2 linked regions of the Anolis sagrei genome follow. The protein of the gene in region 2 interacts with the protein of the main gene of each other region in a pairwise test. Links are inferred from orthologs where the notes say so. Each region holds a gene or a part of one and is shown on either strand. Other genes may lie near its edges.

Region 1 (8,201 bases), on a different chromosome or scaffold from region 2:
GAGGTTGGTGCTCATCTCCATTTCTAAGCCGAATAGCCAGCATTGTCCATAGACATCTCTAAGGTCATGTGGCTAGCATGACTGCATGGAGTGCCATTACCTTCACGTCAAAGTGGTACCTATTGATCTACTCACATTTGCATGTTTCTGAACTGCTAGGTCGGCAGAAGCTGGGCTTAACAGCAGGAGCTTACCCCGCTCCCCAGATTCGAACTGCCAATCTTACCAGTCAGCAAGTTCAGCAGCTCAGTGGTTTAACCCACTGCGCAACTGGTCTTCAGTTGTAGAAGACCTTAAAATCAGTGCCTTGCAAACAGTGGTTCCAAATCAAAAGATCATTCAAATACATTCCCAACTGGGTTACTCTATGAGGCTATTTCTGTTAATTTCTGGGTGTTTCTTTTCCTTTCCCACAGCAATACAGCAATGTTACAACTTTTAAAAGCCACTGTCCCTCAGTGTCACCATAAAATAGGCAGACATTTCATGCAGATGCGTACTACCAACATACGTCTATATTAACAAAAAATTTTTAAAAAATAGAATATAAAACGTGTATGATTTTTTGCACTTCCTATCCACTGTAGAGGAAACTAATTTACACATTCAACATAGTGACCACAGATGAAAGGCAGAGCCAAAGGTGTAAACAGCACCAGCTGGGAGTGGTTCCAAACCACTCCAATTGGATACATTTAGAAGGATTAATCAAGTACATAAGCCATTAGAGAAGGACAGTACAATCCTGACACAGAGTTGCATGACGTGCATTCCCAACTAACTAAGGGGTAATTGTGAGGTGCCTTGTATTTAAAATAGCTGATACAGAAAGATTTGATAGAGTTAATTTGCATCTACATTAAGGGCTTCGTGTTAGGATTCCTCTGAAATAAGGGAATGTGCTAGTATCCTATAGCAGTGCTCTCTGTATTGCTTAATGTGTGGGACTAGCATCACATGGCACCACATGACAACGCCTCCTCCTTTCTTTCTTGGAAATTAACTGTGAACCAGCAGTGGATAGGATATAGACTGGCACCAGTCCATGGACCTCCTCTCTCTCACAGAATATGTGGCTCACAGACTTTAAGAGGCGTAGCTTACAATATGCTCAGATCCTATATGAAGAGATATGTTTTCAGTTGAACTCGGGACTAATGACTCATGATTAATTGATTGGCTTATTATTGCACAAGCTTTCTTTCCTATCATGGGTTCTGTATTTTTTTTTTATTTTTTTTTTACAAAACAGCTTCTCTGGAAGTGCTCGGATGTAACAAACTAAAATTTGAGTTGCTGCAAGTTTTCTGGACTGTATGGCTATGTTCCAGAAGCATTATCTTCTGGTGTTTTGCCCACATCTATGGAAGGCATCCTCAGATGGTGTGAAACTAAAATCTCCCTGCATAATCCAGTATAGACACAAAAAGATCAGAAACATGCATTCTCCTTTTAACCAATCACAGTTAGTATTCGAAATGACTACAGGCTCGTTCCAAATGAATCAAAACAACAGTTTACTAACACACACCAACAGCATCAGAAACTGAAATCCAATTCTGGCTTGTTTTGTAAAGTTGATATTACAACTAAGCAGTTTGTCAAGTTAAGACGCAATGCAAAACTGCTGTTAGCTGACAATGGAAGGAAATGCTTCCTGTCTAAGGAGAGGAATGAACACACAAACCCAACCATGGTGTGAGAACAATACAGAATAACAAATTAGATCTACAGCCACCCCCCCCCCCCAATTGATAGCTAATGTGTCAGCACTGCAATAAACAAATTATTCATTTCTATCCTGCCCTTCTCAACCTGCAGGTGACTAACAACATGCATCTAAGCAAAAATTCAATGTCTCATTATACAAACCAAATAAAACATAACATTAAATCACTAGAAACAATAGAGCGTGCTTGCTCCATCAATCTTCATCATTTACACAAATGACCAGCCACTGCCAGAAGAGACAGAGAGTTTCATCTATGCAGATGATCGTGTCATTACCGCTCAAGCAGGGAGCTTTGAAATGGTTGAACAAAGGCTCTCAGAAGCTCTAGGTGCTCTTACTGCCTATTACAGGGAAAACCAGCTGATCCCTAATCCATCTAAAACACAGACATGTGCTTTTCACCTCAATAGCAGACAAGCATCCCAAGCTCTGAGGATTACCTGGGAAGGAATCCCACTGGAGCATTGCAGCACACCCAAATACCTGGGAGTCACTCTGGACCATGCCCTGACCTACAAGAAGCACTGCCTGAGTATCAAGCAAAAAGTGGGTGCTTGAAATAATATCATACGAAAGCTGACTGGCACAACTTGGGGATCACAACCAGATACAGTGAAGACATCTGCCCTTGCGCTATGCTACTCTGCTGCTGAGTATGCATGCCCAGTGTCACATGCATTATGGAGGACCTTTTTGCAGCAACACCAGAGGCACTCCCAAGTGGCCATTCCTAACAGCCTCAGGCCTCTTCCTTAAGCGGCTGAGGGGGGAAAGGAAAAGGCCTGAGACTGTTAGGAATGGTGGGAGTTGAAGTCCAAAACACCTAAAGGGCCCAAGTTGGCTCATGACTGATCTACACTCTATATTAATGCAGTTTGACACCACTTGAACTGCCATGTTAATTTGGGGAGTTGAAGTTTGGTGCTGCACCAGCACTCTCTGCCAAAGAAGGCCAAAAACCTTGTAAAACTACAACTCCCATAACTCTACAGCTTTGAGCCATAGCAGTTAAAAGTGGCAATAGTTTTACAAGGCCTTTTGCTTTCTCTAAGAGGGCTGGCGCCTCACCAAACTCCAATTCCCATGACCCCACAGCATTCAGCCATGGGAGTTCAAGTGGTGTCAAACTGCATTCATTCTACAGTGTAGATGCACCTCTTCTCAAAGCTCTGAGGGAGAAGAAAGCCTCGGCTCTCCCTTTGGGAAGGAAGAAGGCAACCAAGTCAGAGAGGGAAGAATCCCCGCCTGCTTCTCACCTGGAATGAGGCGGCACCTCGAACCCCCCTTGCAACCAAGGCGACGGCGCTCTCCAGGAAACGGCACTTCCGCCCACACCTCGTCTCCCTTTCCGCCCGCAAAGCTTCCCGCATGACGCCCACTTCCGCCCTCGCTTGACGTCACTTTCCTACGGGTCCTCCCTATGCTCAGAAAGGGAACGTATTCCCCACTCGTTGCCAGCCCGTTGCTTGCTGGTTGTAGGGAGTTTCACATGTACTCAGCTCTGCTTTGAGTTCAGTGGGATTTGTCCTTGGAGAAGTCTACAATAGGATTGCCTCTACTGAGTTGTGAAAACTTTAATGGACTCTTAACTCCCTTCTTCAATTTGTAGATGCCAGAAAATACTATAGAAAGGGTTGGTTTGGGGGTTGGGAATTGGAAACACAGTGTATGCCAACGAGGATTGTCCTTTCGTTGTTGTTTATTCGTTCAGTGGCTTCCAACTCTTCATGAACTCATGGACCAGCCCACGCCAGAGCTCCCTGTTGGCCGTCGCCACCCCCAGCTCCTTCAGAGTCAAGTCAAGTCTTGCTTATAGCAAGATGTTTAATCGTTCAGTTGCTTCTGACTCTTCATGACCTCATGGACCAGCCCACGCCAGAGCTCCCTGATGGCCGTCGCCACCCCCAGCTCCTTCAGAGTCAAGTCTTGGTTATAGCAATATGTTTAATCGTTCAGTTGCTTCCAACTCTTCATGAACTCATGGACCAGCCCACGCCAGAGCTCCCTGTTGGCCGTCGCCACCCCCAGCTCCTTCAGAGTCAAGTCTTGGTTATAGCAAGATGTTTAATCGTTCAGTTGCTTCCAACTCTTCATGAACTCATGGACCAGCCCACGCCAGAGCTCCCTGTTGGCCGTCGCCACCCTCAGCTCCTTCAGAGTCAAGTCAAGTCTTGGTTATAGCAAGATGTTTAATCGTTTAGTTGCTTCCAACTCTTCATGAACTCATGGACCAGCCCACGCCAGAGCTCCCTGTTGGCCGTCGCCACCCCCAGCTTCTTCAGAGTCAAGTCTTGCTTATACCAAGATATCTAATCAGCAATACATAGATAGATAGATAGATAGATAGATAGATAGAAGATACAGAATGGGGGATGCCTGGCTTGACAGCAGGTTTTGGAGCTGCAAGGCTATTCAAGGTTAATCAAGTTGGCCAACTGCAACATTCACATCGGCCTCCAACAGACAAGAGTTCAGTGTATTGTCGAAGGCTTTCATGGCCAGAATCAGTTTTTTAATACTGGTAGCCAGATTTTGGGTTTTCTTGGTCTGTAGGTGGTTTGTATGTTGTGTTTCCTCATCAGCTTCCCATCAGCTACAAGAGTAAAGATGAAGATCCACCCAGAAGAAAAGTGTTCTTGCTATACATCAAGGGAACCACTGACCGCATAGGGAAGCTGATGAGGAAACACAACATACAAACCACCTACAGACCCACCAAGAACATCCAACAAATGCTACGTTCAGCAAAGGACAAGAGGGATCCTCTCACCTCTGCAGGAGTCTACCGTATTCCATGCAGCTGTGGACAAGTCTACATAGGGACCACCAAACGCAGCACTGCCCAAACACGAATCAAGGAACATGAAAGGCACTGCAGACTACTCCAACCAGAGAAGTCAGCCATAGCAGAGCACCTGATGAACCAACCTGGACACAGCATATTATTTGAGAACACAGAAGTGCTGGACCACCCTCACAACCACCATGTCAGACTACACAGAGAAGCCATTGAAATACACAAGCATGTGGACAATTTCAACAGAAAGGAAGAAACCATGAAAATGAACAAAATCTGGCTACCAGTATTAAAAAACTCTAAAATTACAACAGCAAAACAACAGAGAGTAAACAATCAGGCACATCAAATCACCACTCAACAAAAGATCCCCCCAGGCACTTCCAAGCCATTAAATGCTAATCAAGGTGGTCAGTTGAAACATTCAAACCTAACTCCAGCAGACAAAAGTCCTTCGTCCCACCCTGGTCATTCCACAGATATATAAACCCATTGTCCTAATTCCAACAGACCTCACTACCTCTGAGGATGCTTGCCATAGATGCAGGCGAAACGTCAGGAGAAAATGCCACTAGAACATGGCCATATAGCCCGGAAAAAACTACATCAACCCAGACAAGAGTTCTTTCTCCCACCCTGGACATTCCACAAATATATAAATCTCACTTGCCTAGTTTCCAACAGACCTCACAACCTCAGAGGATGCCTGCCATAGATGTGGGTGAAACGTCAAGAGACAATGTTTCTGGAATATGGCCATATAGCCCAGAAAACTCACAGCAACCCGATGATTCTGGCCACGAAAGCCTTCGACAACAGATAATATGATGATTTTTTTTGCTAGAAAGGATACATATCAGTGTTTAGTGATGTAATCCATTTCAGCTTTAGTTTATGCTCTCCAACTGTTCCACTTTGGCAAGGAGAGTCCCATGTAGTCCTCTGTCCTTATATGTTTTCAGCTGTTTTAAAAGTGTCCCAGTTTTTCTCACCTCCTTTCACTCCCCTTCTGGGGGACATGAGAGAAGCCTCCTCGCAGGATTGCAAGACATCCGGGCGTCCCCTGGGCAACGTCTTCGTAGACGGCTGATTCTCTCACCCCAGAAGCGACTAGAGGCAACTTGCAGCATGCAAGCAAGACAACCACTCCCCTCCTTTGTCCTCAGCTTACTTCAATGGCCACAAACGGAGTGCAAAGTCCAAAAGCAGTTTGCGACCAGCTCAGAAAGAGCAATGGCAAAAGTAAACTGCTGCAACCTATCCTAGCTCATTTGTATTTATTCATTAACTTTTGCTATCTAGACCACATATTCTGGATCATATCTGTCCCAGTTTGCATCTGTGACATGTTGGAGATTATGTTTGATTTCAGAATGCATTTTAAGTACTTTGTTACTCATTGCTTTTCCTGAATGTTTAACTAGTCTTTGCTGCTATGAGATAGCAATGGCCACATCAACACTGCTATATAATGCAATTGAACTGTGTAATATGGCTGTCTTCACTGCCATATAATGCAATTCAAACTGAATTATATGGCAGTGTGGACAGGGCCTATGAGTTCACAGTTTATGTATGGACCTGGTGAATCCTATGTTTAAGCTTTCTCTTGCCGGCATATAATGGTGTTCCCTGCAGTCATGCTGGCCACATGACCTTGGAGGTGTCTACGGACAATGCCAGCTCTTTGGCTTAGAAATGGAGATGAGCACCAACTCCCGAGTCGAATGTGATTAGACTTAATGCCAGGGGAAACCTTTAACTTTTATAAATGGTAGGGATCTAAGAATTAAAGGGTTGCTTTGTGGAGCAGTGCCAATTTGTACTTGAAGCTGGTCATTTTTCATTATGGAAGAGTTATTTGAAGTATAACCCAGAATGATATCATTAAACTGGAGCACTGAACCGATAGCTACATGGTTTAATTTATCAATGATGATTTGTGTTATACTTAAAAATAACAAGATGCATAAGTACACAACAAACCATAATTAGTTTGGCAGCATCTGAAAAAAAGATGTCAAAGTAGTAGTGGATAATAAATATATGTCATGGCTCAAAGCTTATCCCATTTTTGGTAGGATTAGACTGCAATGACTCATCTATTCTATTTTGATATAGGGCTGGTCACCATAATTCCAGAAGGACAAATCAGAGAGGTGCGTGTACTTCTTTATTTGTGTTATTGAACTATTTTATCTGGCCTTGTATCACTGAACCTCAGGCTGGCGTGCAAGGAAAAACCATGTAAGCCATTTGAAACAGTGCAGAACTTAAAACAAAAAGGTAATTTAAATTAACATGAAGCATGTTAAACAATTTAACAACTTAAAACAGTTTAAAAAATTAAAGCAGTTTAAAATTGGGCACATGTACATGTTGGAAAAGATACATTTAATAATGTTTTATTTTTTAAGTCAACACCAGCAGTCCTCTGTCCTCCAAGTGAGAGGGCATTACACAAACTGTGGCAAAAATAGGAACCAAATGTGGTTTCCACAAGTTTTATACTCAGTGAAACAGACACTGAGATTCACACCATTTCTACATTGTACATGCACTAAAAAAGTTTTTTTTATGCGAATCAGTCTCATATCCCTCGACTGTCCCCATTTAGCAAGGACAGTTAAAATTAATCCTGTGTCATCTCATTTTTTCAGAATCTTTTAAAACGTCCCAGTTTCTTTCTACTTCTCCCTTCCTTCAACTTTCTTCATTTGCTACAAACCGAATACAACATTGAAAAGTAGTTTACTCTCAGTTCACTCAGCAGGTGGAGAAGAGAGATGTGGGCAGAATCCTGCCCTTCCCTGAAGACTCAGGGAAGGCAAACTATTACAGGTTGATCCTAGCTTGTGTGTTCTTCCTTTTTCTTACCTTTCACTAGCTTGACACAATCTGAAGTTATTCAGCCACATAAATCCCATTTTCATCTGAGAAATGTTGAATGGTGTGCAACCTCAGTATTTTTCTATTAATAATATTATTGTAGGTTCTGTCATTTGTGGCTTGATATTAAATTGCTGCGCAAAGATCCAGCAATAGTTTGGTTTATTTATTACTTGTTTATTCTGCCCTTTTCTCTCTAAGCACCTTAAGAAAGGGTTCCTTGACATTTTTTTCATCTTTATGGAAGAGGCTAGGCTCATATGCAGTCGCTGATCCAAGATAATCCACAGGCACATCTTCATCATGCCTTATCCCAAAAGGAGATGAATGGTCTCTCCCTCTATCTCAACTCTCCTGCCTTGGCCTCAAGGGAGATAAGAAGAGCCAAGCACAATCCCATCGTATTTTGGCCCAAAAAGAGATGAAAAGTCCTTCTTCCATCCCAACTTCTGCTGAGGCCTCAGAGAGAGAAAGGGAGAGGCAGAAGCAGAAGAAAGGTCCTCCCTCCATCCCAGCTGCCACTGCCATAGCCATGAATGGAGAGACATCTATAGTTCCATCACAGCTATTCCCAGAAGCAGTTGATAAGCCGTACCTCTATCCAACTGCCACTGCCCGGTCTCAAAGAAAGGAAGGGAGAGGCAGGCCCATCATGCTATAGCCCAGAAGAAGATGGAAGGTCCTACTTTCATCCTGGCTGCCACTATCCTGGCCATGAAGGGAGAGAAGAAGAGGCAGTTTCTGCTGGACATGCCACCATACCCTTTCCTTGTTTGTCATGTC
Region 2 (7,212 bases):
TATTCATTTTATTCTGCTTTATTCTGCTTCATTTTTATTCTGCTTTCTCTCAAAATAGAGATTCAAGGAGAGATTAACCCCCACCCCCACCTTAGAGAACTATGCCGGTCTTCAACAAACTTGAATTGTGCCTAATTCCCTTAACAAGAATAGAACAAAATAATTGTGACTAAATTTACCTAAAGTGATAGGTCTCATGTCAATTTCAACATGCTTTCTGCATCAATTTCAAAATAGCACAGTCAACATTAATTTGAGCCATGTCAGGTCCATAAATCTTTAACATTAGTTTGTAAATAGAAACCTGCCATGAAAGCAGAAAGCAGTACATGACTCTGCATTTATTTCTATTTCTGCCACCATTCCAGCCATAAGAAAAAGACAATCTTTAACACACTCCACAGTGCTAAGAATTGAAGAGAAAGGAGTGGTGTTGGGATATAATTCTACCCATCCAATAATTTCCAGATGCGATTAAACTAAGTGCTCAAAGTGCTAGGTTGTCCTGACTATTGCAACCACTTGCAAGTTTAGTCCCTATATTCTCTGCTACGTTTTTCAGTACATACTGCCTTTCTTCGGCAGGCAAGCCACACCCTCACTTCTGTATGTGAACAAACCATTTGGGATAAAGCCAAGCTACAGAGGGAGTTTGTACATAACTTGTCCTCCCTCATCTACTAAATGATAAAAGGGCGGGGTTCTTTAGTGTTAGGAAGGCAAGAAAAACAGGTATTATCCTGCTGTGAAAAACAGCAATAGATCTTTAGAAAACATAAGAAAGCAAAACAGGAAAAATGACTGGAGTAATGCTGAGCATTGGGATGAGTGAACCACACAAAGCCACGGCCATCATAAATAACTGCCTACAAAAATAATATCCTGTCTCAGGAAGCTGGGCTAGATGACTCAATACTTTGCTTCCATGTTGCTTCTAAATTCAAGGACACTATTTGGAAAACGTTTCCACTCATGACGCCTTTTGACCTAAGAATTTTTTGTGGGTACACAAATATATAGAATAGGCATCAATAGATGTGAGAAGAAATCAGCACTTGTGAGGCTTGCTAAACAGGCTGATTTTCCTTTTTATGAACTATACCTGAAGCATCTTCTGTAGAATTACTGTGAACACTGCACAACAGATTTGTGCAAATGTCAAAACACCCACTAGCTGACATTCAGAAAACGTTTACTGCTGACAAATGTTTCTGGACTCCAACATTGAGCAAAGGGAACCCCGCTTGAGGTTGGGACCCAAAGTTTTATGAAGCTGTGATCTAGAGGATATGTAATTAAGGGTAACACAGTTTTTTTTCCATCTCATCACTTTGGGCCCTTACCTTTACACACTCAGCAGCAGTAGATAAGCTCTCCTTACTGTCAAACACCTGCTTGCTAAACGCATCCACAAACATCCTCATTGCTGATCGAGCCCAGACAACAAAAGCCGAATAGCACCCACTGTTGCCAGCAAAGTCCGTCTCAAACTCCTTTGCGGTCTCTAGCAGGCTGGTGAAGAAGACATGGCACAGCTTGTGAATGTACAGCAGAGTGGCACCTTCAATGCGCAACTGTCGGATGGCTGTGTGAACGGCCGCTTCCCTGTTCCGCAGGAAAAGTTCGCACGCCTTGGTTGACTGGCCCAACCGGATGAGCTGAGAAACAGCACGACGGGTTGCTCTGGGCCCACCTCGAAGTGACCTATCTGGAGAAAGCTCAAACACAAGCACGTCGGTGAGCTGCCTGATTCTCTCATCCACTTTTGCTCGTAACTCCCTGACTGGTTGTGTCAAGGGCTTATCCCCTAGATACTCATTCAGCTTATCCAGCAAGTCAACCGCCCCTTCGAAGTCTCTCTGAGCGATGCAGACATCCAAGTCTTCAGGCAACTCCTGAATCCACTCCAGGGAGAGATCCACCACTTCTTCCTCTGGGGTCCCCCCTTCCCCACTTTCCTCCTCATCCTCATCGAAGGGGTTGGTAGCCTCTGGAGGGGCTGGGGGAGGCGCACGGGCTGCCGGCACCTCCTGTTCCAGCCTCCGCTTCTCGCTCAGCACGCGGCTCCTCTTGGTCTCCTCCAGCACCTCCAGCCACTCTTTCTTGATCTTAGCGTTCTCGGCCTGGAAGATGCGGCTCTCGGGGAACATGAGCAGCTTGAACATGTCCTTCATGGGCGGGTTATCCTTGACATTGACGACGGCCAGGCCGTCCAGTGGGTAGAGGGCGTCGTAACGGTAAGTGCCCCGGCGGTTGGGCAGCCAGGCCGCCACCAGCAGGCAGTCGTTCATCAGGAAGGCGTGCACCTTCTGAATCTGGACCATGTGGTCGGCGTCGTACTCCACCAGGTCCCCGTTGTATACCAGGTACTTGCCGGGGCTCTCCGGAAGCAGGTCGCGGCAGCCCTCCACCTTCTCCAGGAGGGTGGTCAGGGTGCGCTGGCGGCCCTCCTCGCTGGCTGCCGCCTCCTTGGCGGAGAGGGGCAGGAAGGGGTTGGCGTGCGGGTCCGAGGAGGCAGCCCCGGCGGCTCTGTCGTCGCGGTCGGCCTGGAGGAGCAGCAACGCCTGGGTGACGGCCTCCAGGATGCCCTTCTGCTCGGTGAGGATGTGGCTGAGCTGGTACATCTCGCTCTCCAGGTAGCTGATCTCGCGCGCCGTCTCGATGAACTGCCGGTAGTTCTGGTAGACGTTGCGCTTCAGGCTCTGCGCCGTCTCCTCGCTCAGGGCCTGGATGCGCTGGCGGTGCTCCTGCAAGTCCCGGTCGCCGTCCGACTGCTGCGAGAGCTGCTTCACGTACTCCTCGGCCGCGTAGCTCCCGGACTCCAGCTGCCGCCTCAAGCGGCTCCCTCCCGCTCCTCCTCCGCCGCCGCCGCCCGGAGCCACCTCACCCAGAGACAGCGCCATGGCCGAGCCGGAGCCGCCAGAGACCAGCCTTCGCCGAGGAGGGAGAGGAAGCAAGGCGTCGCTGCGCCGGAAGCAGGGGCCGCCTCTGACCGGAAGGCCGCTTACGTGCGCCGCTGCGTAAAAAACGTCAAGGCGCCGCGCCGCAGTGACGCGAGGCGCGCGACTCTCTCCGAGGCAGGAAGACAACAAACCCTCGGCTTTACGGCGCATGCGCCGGGATTTGAAGGCGGAGGGCTCAACGAAAGGCTGTGCTCCAATGGACGGCGACTTCTTGCTGGCGCTGCGGCTCCAAGAGGAGTGGAACGCGGAGGAGGGCGGCCGCGCACGGGCCTCCCTCAAGGCCGGCCCAGCCTTCACCTCGCCGGCACGGCCGCTGTCGCTGGTGGACGAGAGCTGGGAGCTGCTGGATCCCAGCCCGGACGTGCGAGGCCTCTTCCTGCAGTTCAACCAGAGCCTCTTTTGGGGGGCCCTGGAGGCCGTGGAGGTGAAGTGGAGCCCCCGCATGACGCTGTACGGTTTCATGGGACACGTTGTGCCCCACACATTTTCTTATTCGGATTTATGGCTGTGTCCTTACCTCTTTTAAGGGGTTGGCTTAGCCCAGGCGTGGGGAAACTTTCAATAGAATCATAGAGTTGGAAGAGACCTCGTGGGCCATCCAGTCCAACCACCTCCCCAAGGCATAGTTCAGTAGTCAGAACTACCCTTGGCTCTCAAGTCTGGACTAAAATGTTCCTTTTCAGATTAAACCACAATCCCAGAATTCTCATACTAGCTGGATGTTGTAGGTTTTTTCGGGCTATATGTTCTAGAGGCATTTCTCCTGACGTTTCGCCTGCATCGATGGCAAGCATCCTCAGAGGTAGTGAGGTCTGTTGGAACTAGGAAAAAGGGTTTATATATCTGTGGAATGACCAGGGTGAGACAAAGGACTCTTGTCTGCTGGAGCTAGGTGTGAATGTTTCAGCTGACCACCTTGATTAGCATTTGATTGCCTGGCAGTGCCTGGAGCAATCTTTTATGGAAGGAATGATCTAGCTACATGCAGGAAATGTCCAAGTAAGAACATGCAGCCATTGGCAATTACTGTCAGTGATACATGCATCTTAAGCCCTAGAAGAGTCATCTTTCTTGGGAGCAGAGGAATCTCAGAAGTAAGGAAACCTTTGTGAATAAAAGACCTCAGGAGTGGGTAGCCGAATTCAGATAGGCCTGGAAACCAGGCTGTTTAATATCCTAGGTGATTTCTGTTGCTGGAATAAGTTTTACATGGAGTCTATCTCCTTAAAGTTACTTTTTAGTATTGACTTATGGATCCAAGTTAACACCTAACTCTTATATCATGCCTACCTTTTGCTCCCCAATGTCTGAACCTGACATTACTCTAACAACACTTATTAGATTGTATCCACTTTCACACTAATATTTGGCTACAGCTTCCCCTTGTTGATCAATAAACGTGTTGAAAAAAATAGGCACTAATCACAATCTTAAATTTTCTAACAAATTACTGTAAAAGAGAAAAGTCCTGATTATTTACCCCCAAGGAGAACAATCGTCCAACCTTCTATTTCAAACAAGGTAAGAACCCTAATGCATTATGAATACAGAACAGCCAAGTTGCAGTTGAAAGCAAATGTTTGTTGTTTGTGATTTATTATTTTCTAGATGTGCAGGAGTTTGCTGCTATGAAGGCCGTGGTGGAATGTGCTCCATTCGACTTAGTGAGCCCCTTCTAAAGCTGCGACCGAGAAAGGATCTTGTAGAGGTACTGTTGATGGTTGTCTTTGTAGAGAAACATCAAACAAACTGTAGTAAATTTATTGTAGCTAGCATGCCTGAACATTCAAATATGTCCAGAAGGCCCTTGAATGAATAGTTATCTAGCTCCTCACATGAGCATTTATGTTTGATGTCCTATTTGATATGAGTTTGTTCGGCCTCAACATAAGAACAAACAGATCATTTATCTTTGTTCCTTGAGGGTCGTTCCCAAAAGGTGTTGATGGGGGACAACTGCTTTACTTCACAACCATTGACTTGTGGGGTCCCCTAGGGATCAGTATTCCCCCCTATGTTGTTTAACATTTACATGAAGCCACTGGGAGAGATCATCTGGAGTTTTGGGGTCAGATGTCATCTGTATGGAGTTGTTGTTCAGCTCTCTCACTCCTTCCCACCAGTTACTAAGAAGGCTGTGATTCTATGAAATTTGCCCTCCCTCTGCTAGATAACGTGACTGCATTTGTGACTGAAAAGTGTATTTTGCTTTTAATGTTTTTGGTGTTCTTAGATGTTTAGAGGCATAGCTGTACTCAAGGTAGTACTCTGTATTTTGTAAGTGATTTTTGATCCTCTAGAACAGTGATTTCCAACCTTTGGTCCTCCAGGTGTTTTGGACTTCAACTTCCAGAAATCTTAGCCAGCTTACCAGCTGTTTGGAATTATAAGAACTGAAGTCTGAAGCACCTGTCAGACTAAAAGTTGGGAACCATTGCTCTAAAATGAGAGGATCCAGTGATTTGAGCAGCTGTCAAAAAGTAAGGTGGGTGTGATGCATGTAGCATATTGAAAATATTTTAACTTTGATTTCAAAGAAATATGCTTCTCAGATCTTTTACCTTTGAAACTTACAGAAGGAGAAGCATTACAAAATGAAATGCTCACGGTGGAATTTTTTTGTTTTGATGTAATTTGTTGTATTCAAAAACAACAAAAATATTAACAATAAGCCCTCATGTCATCAGTTGGGGACCCCTCCTCCCAGCACCAACTGCTGCTCTGGGCCAGAGTGAAGGGGGGGGGGGGACAGTTCCATCTTGTCTCCTGCATTTGTCATCAGTTAGGGACCACTCCCCCAGCACCAATTGCTGCTCTGGGCCAGAGTGAAGAGAGAGGGGGCCAGAAGACAGTTTTACCTTGTTTCCTGTGCTATGCTAATAATATAATATAATGTAGTGTACTATATTGTATATACATATAATATTTATAATATTATAATGTAATACAATATAATAATACTACTAACAATATGATATAATTATATATTTTATATTACATGTGATGTTACTAGTAATATTACAATATAATGGTATAGTACAATATAGTAATATATAATACTGATATTGTACTATGCTAATAATATATTGTATATATATATATATGTCTTGTAAGCCACTCTAAGTCCCCTTCGGGGTGAGAAGGGTGGCATATAAATGTCTTAAATAAATAAATAAATAAATTCCCTCACATTTTAGCTTCAGGAAAATCATAGAATAACATTTCTGATCTGACAAAAATTAAGAAGCCCTTTAAAGTAATACAATCCCAGTGTGTAGAAAAAGTCTAAAGAGAGGAAGTATCTCTCACCCAACTGTAGTAGATCACACAGTTGTCACAGTCAGACATGTGTTCACTCTTGCCCACCTCATTTATGGACTTGTGTGTCAGGTCAAACAAATTCTCAGGTCAGACTAACAAATCTGACTTCTTATAAAGCTGGGAGTGATTTTGAGCTCCTGCCTCCTTCTTTGTTCCTCTCCTCGTTTGCCAGCTGTAGCATTTTGATTTTAGTTAAAGGCCATATTGATTACAACGAACAATGCCAGAGAATGAGAAAAATGGAAGGAAACATTTTAAGTGTTTATTTTAAACTGGTGCAGCCCATCTCTGTTTTAAGCCAATTGTAGATAACTATTTCTTATTGCTTAAGAAATAAACATTTCAACTAATCCAATGATTTTTTAAAAATTTCAGACTCTTTTACATGAAATGATTCATGCTCTGTTGTTTGTCACTTATAATGACAAAGATCACGATTCTCATGGCCCGGAGTTCTGCAAACACATGGATCGGATAAATCGCTTAACTGGCACAAATATTACGGTAAACATTATTTGTAAGGCACTTCTCAATGCTTGAAGTACAACAGATTAGTTCCCAAACTAAGGTCCGCAGGCTGGATGCAGCCCTCCAATGTAATTTACCTGGACCCCGCCCTAAACTTTAGATTTAGGATCATCCTAATTCTGAAGTGACTTGAAGGCACAGAACAACACTATACTGTTTATATTAACACTATACAGTTTGTCATTTAACTGTATGAAGCTTACTATTAGATTGCAACTTTTAAGTATTATGACCAGAATGAATACACAAATGATATATATTTTGGACCAATTCTCCCATGGAACCATTAATTTGATAGAGCCTTGTCTTCCTGTGTAACTTTGGTGTCCAGGGTGCAAAAACAACCATATTGAATCAGGCCTGAGACTTGTCTAATCCAGGATTGTGTTCACATAGTGTT

The links. The genes of interacting proteins can lie anywhere in the genome.
Region 1: the proteins of EXOC8 (region 2) and WASHC1 interact in binary tests that used the Homo sapiens proteins (3 or more experiments, as listed by UniProt). The link is inferred for Anolis sagrei from reciprocal best matches to the Homo sapiens genes EXOC8 and WASHC1.

What each region holds. Positions count from the first base shown.
Region 1 is NC_090025.1:177,533,640-177,541,840, forward strand, and holds the start of WASHC1 (WASH complex subunit 1), read right to left. Parts: upstream 3,105-8,201; 5' UTR 2,989-3,104; intron 1-2,988. UniProt on the Homo sapiens protein: Acts as a component of the WASH core complex that functions as a nucleation-promoting factor (NPF) at the surface of endosomes, where it recruits and activates the Arp2/3 complex to induce actin polymerization, playing a key role in the fission of tubules that serve as transport intermediates during endosome sorting.
Region 2 is NC_090021.1:60,851,391-60,858,602, reverse strand, and holds the start of EXOC8 (exocyst complex component 8), read right to left. Parts: upstream 3,002-7,212; 5' UTR 2,904-3,001; coding exon 1,344-2,903; intron 1-1,343. Other genes in the region: DNA-dependent metalloprotease SPRTN, read left to right, coding at 3,112-3,413, 4,572-4,671, 6,660-6,788. UniProt on the Homo sapiens protein: Component of the exocyst complex involved in the docking of exocytic vesicles with fusion sites on the plasma membrane.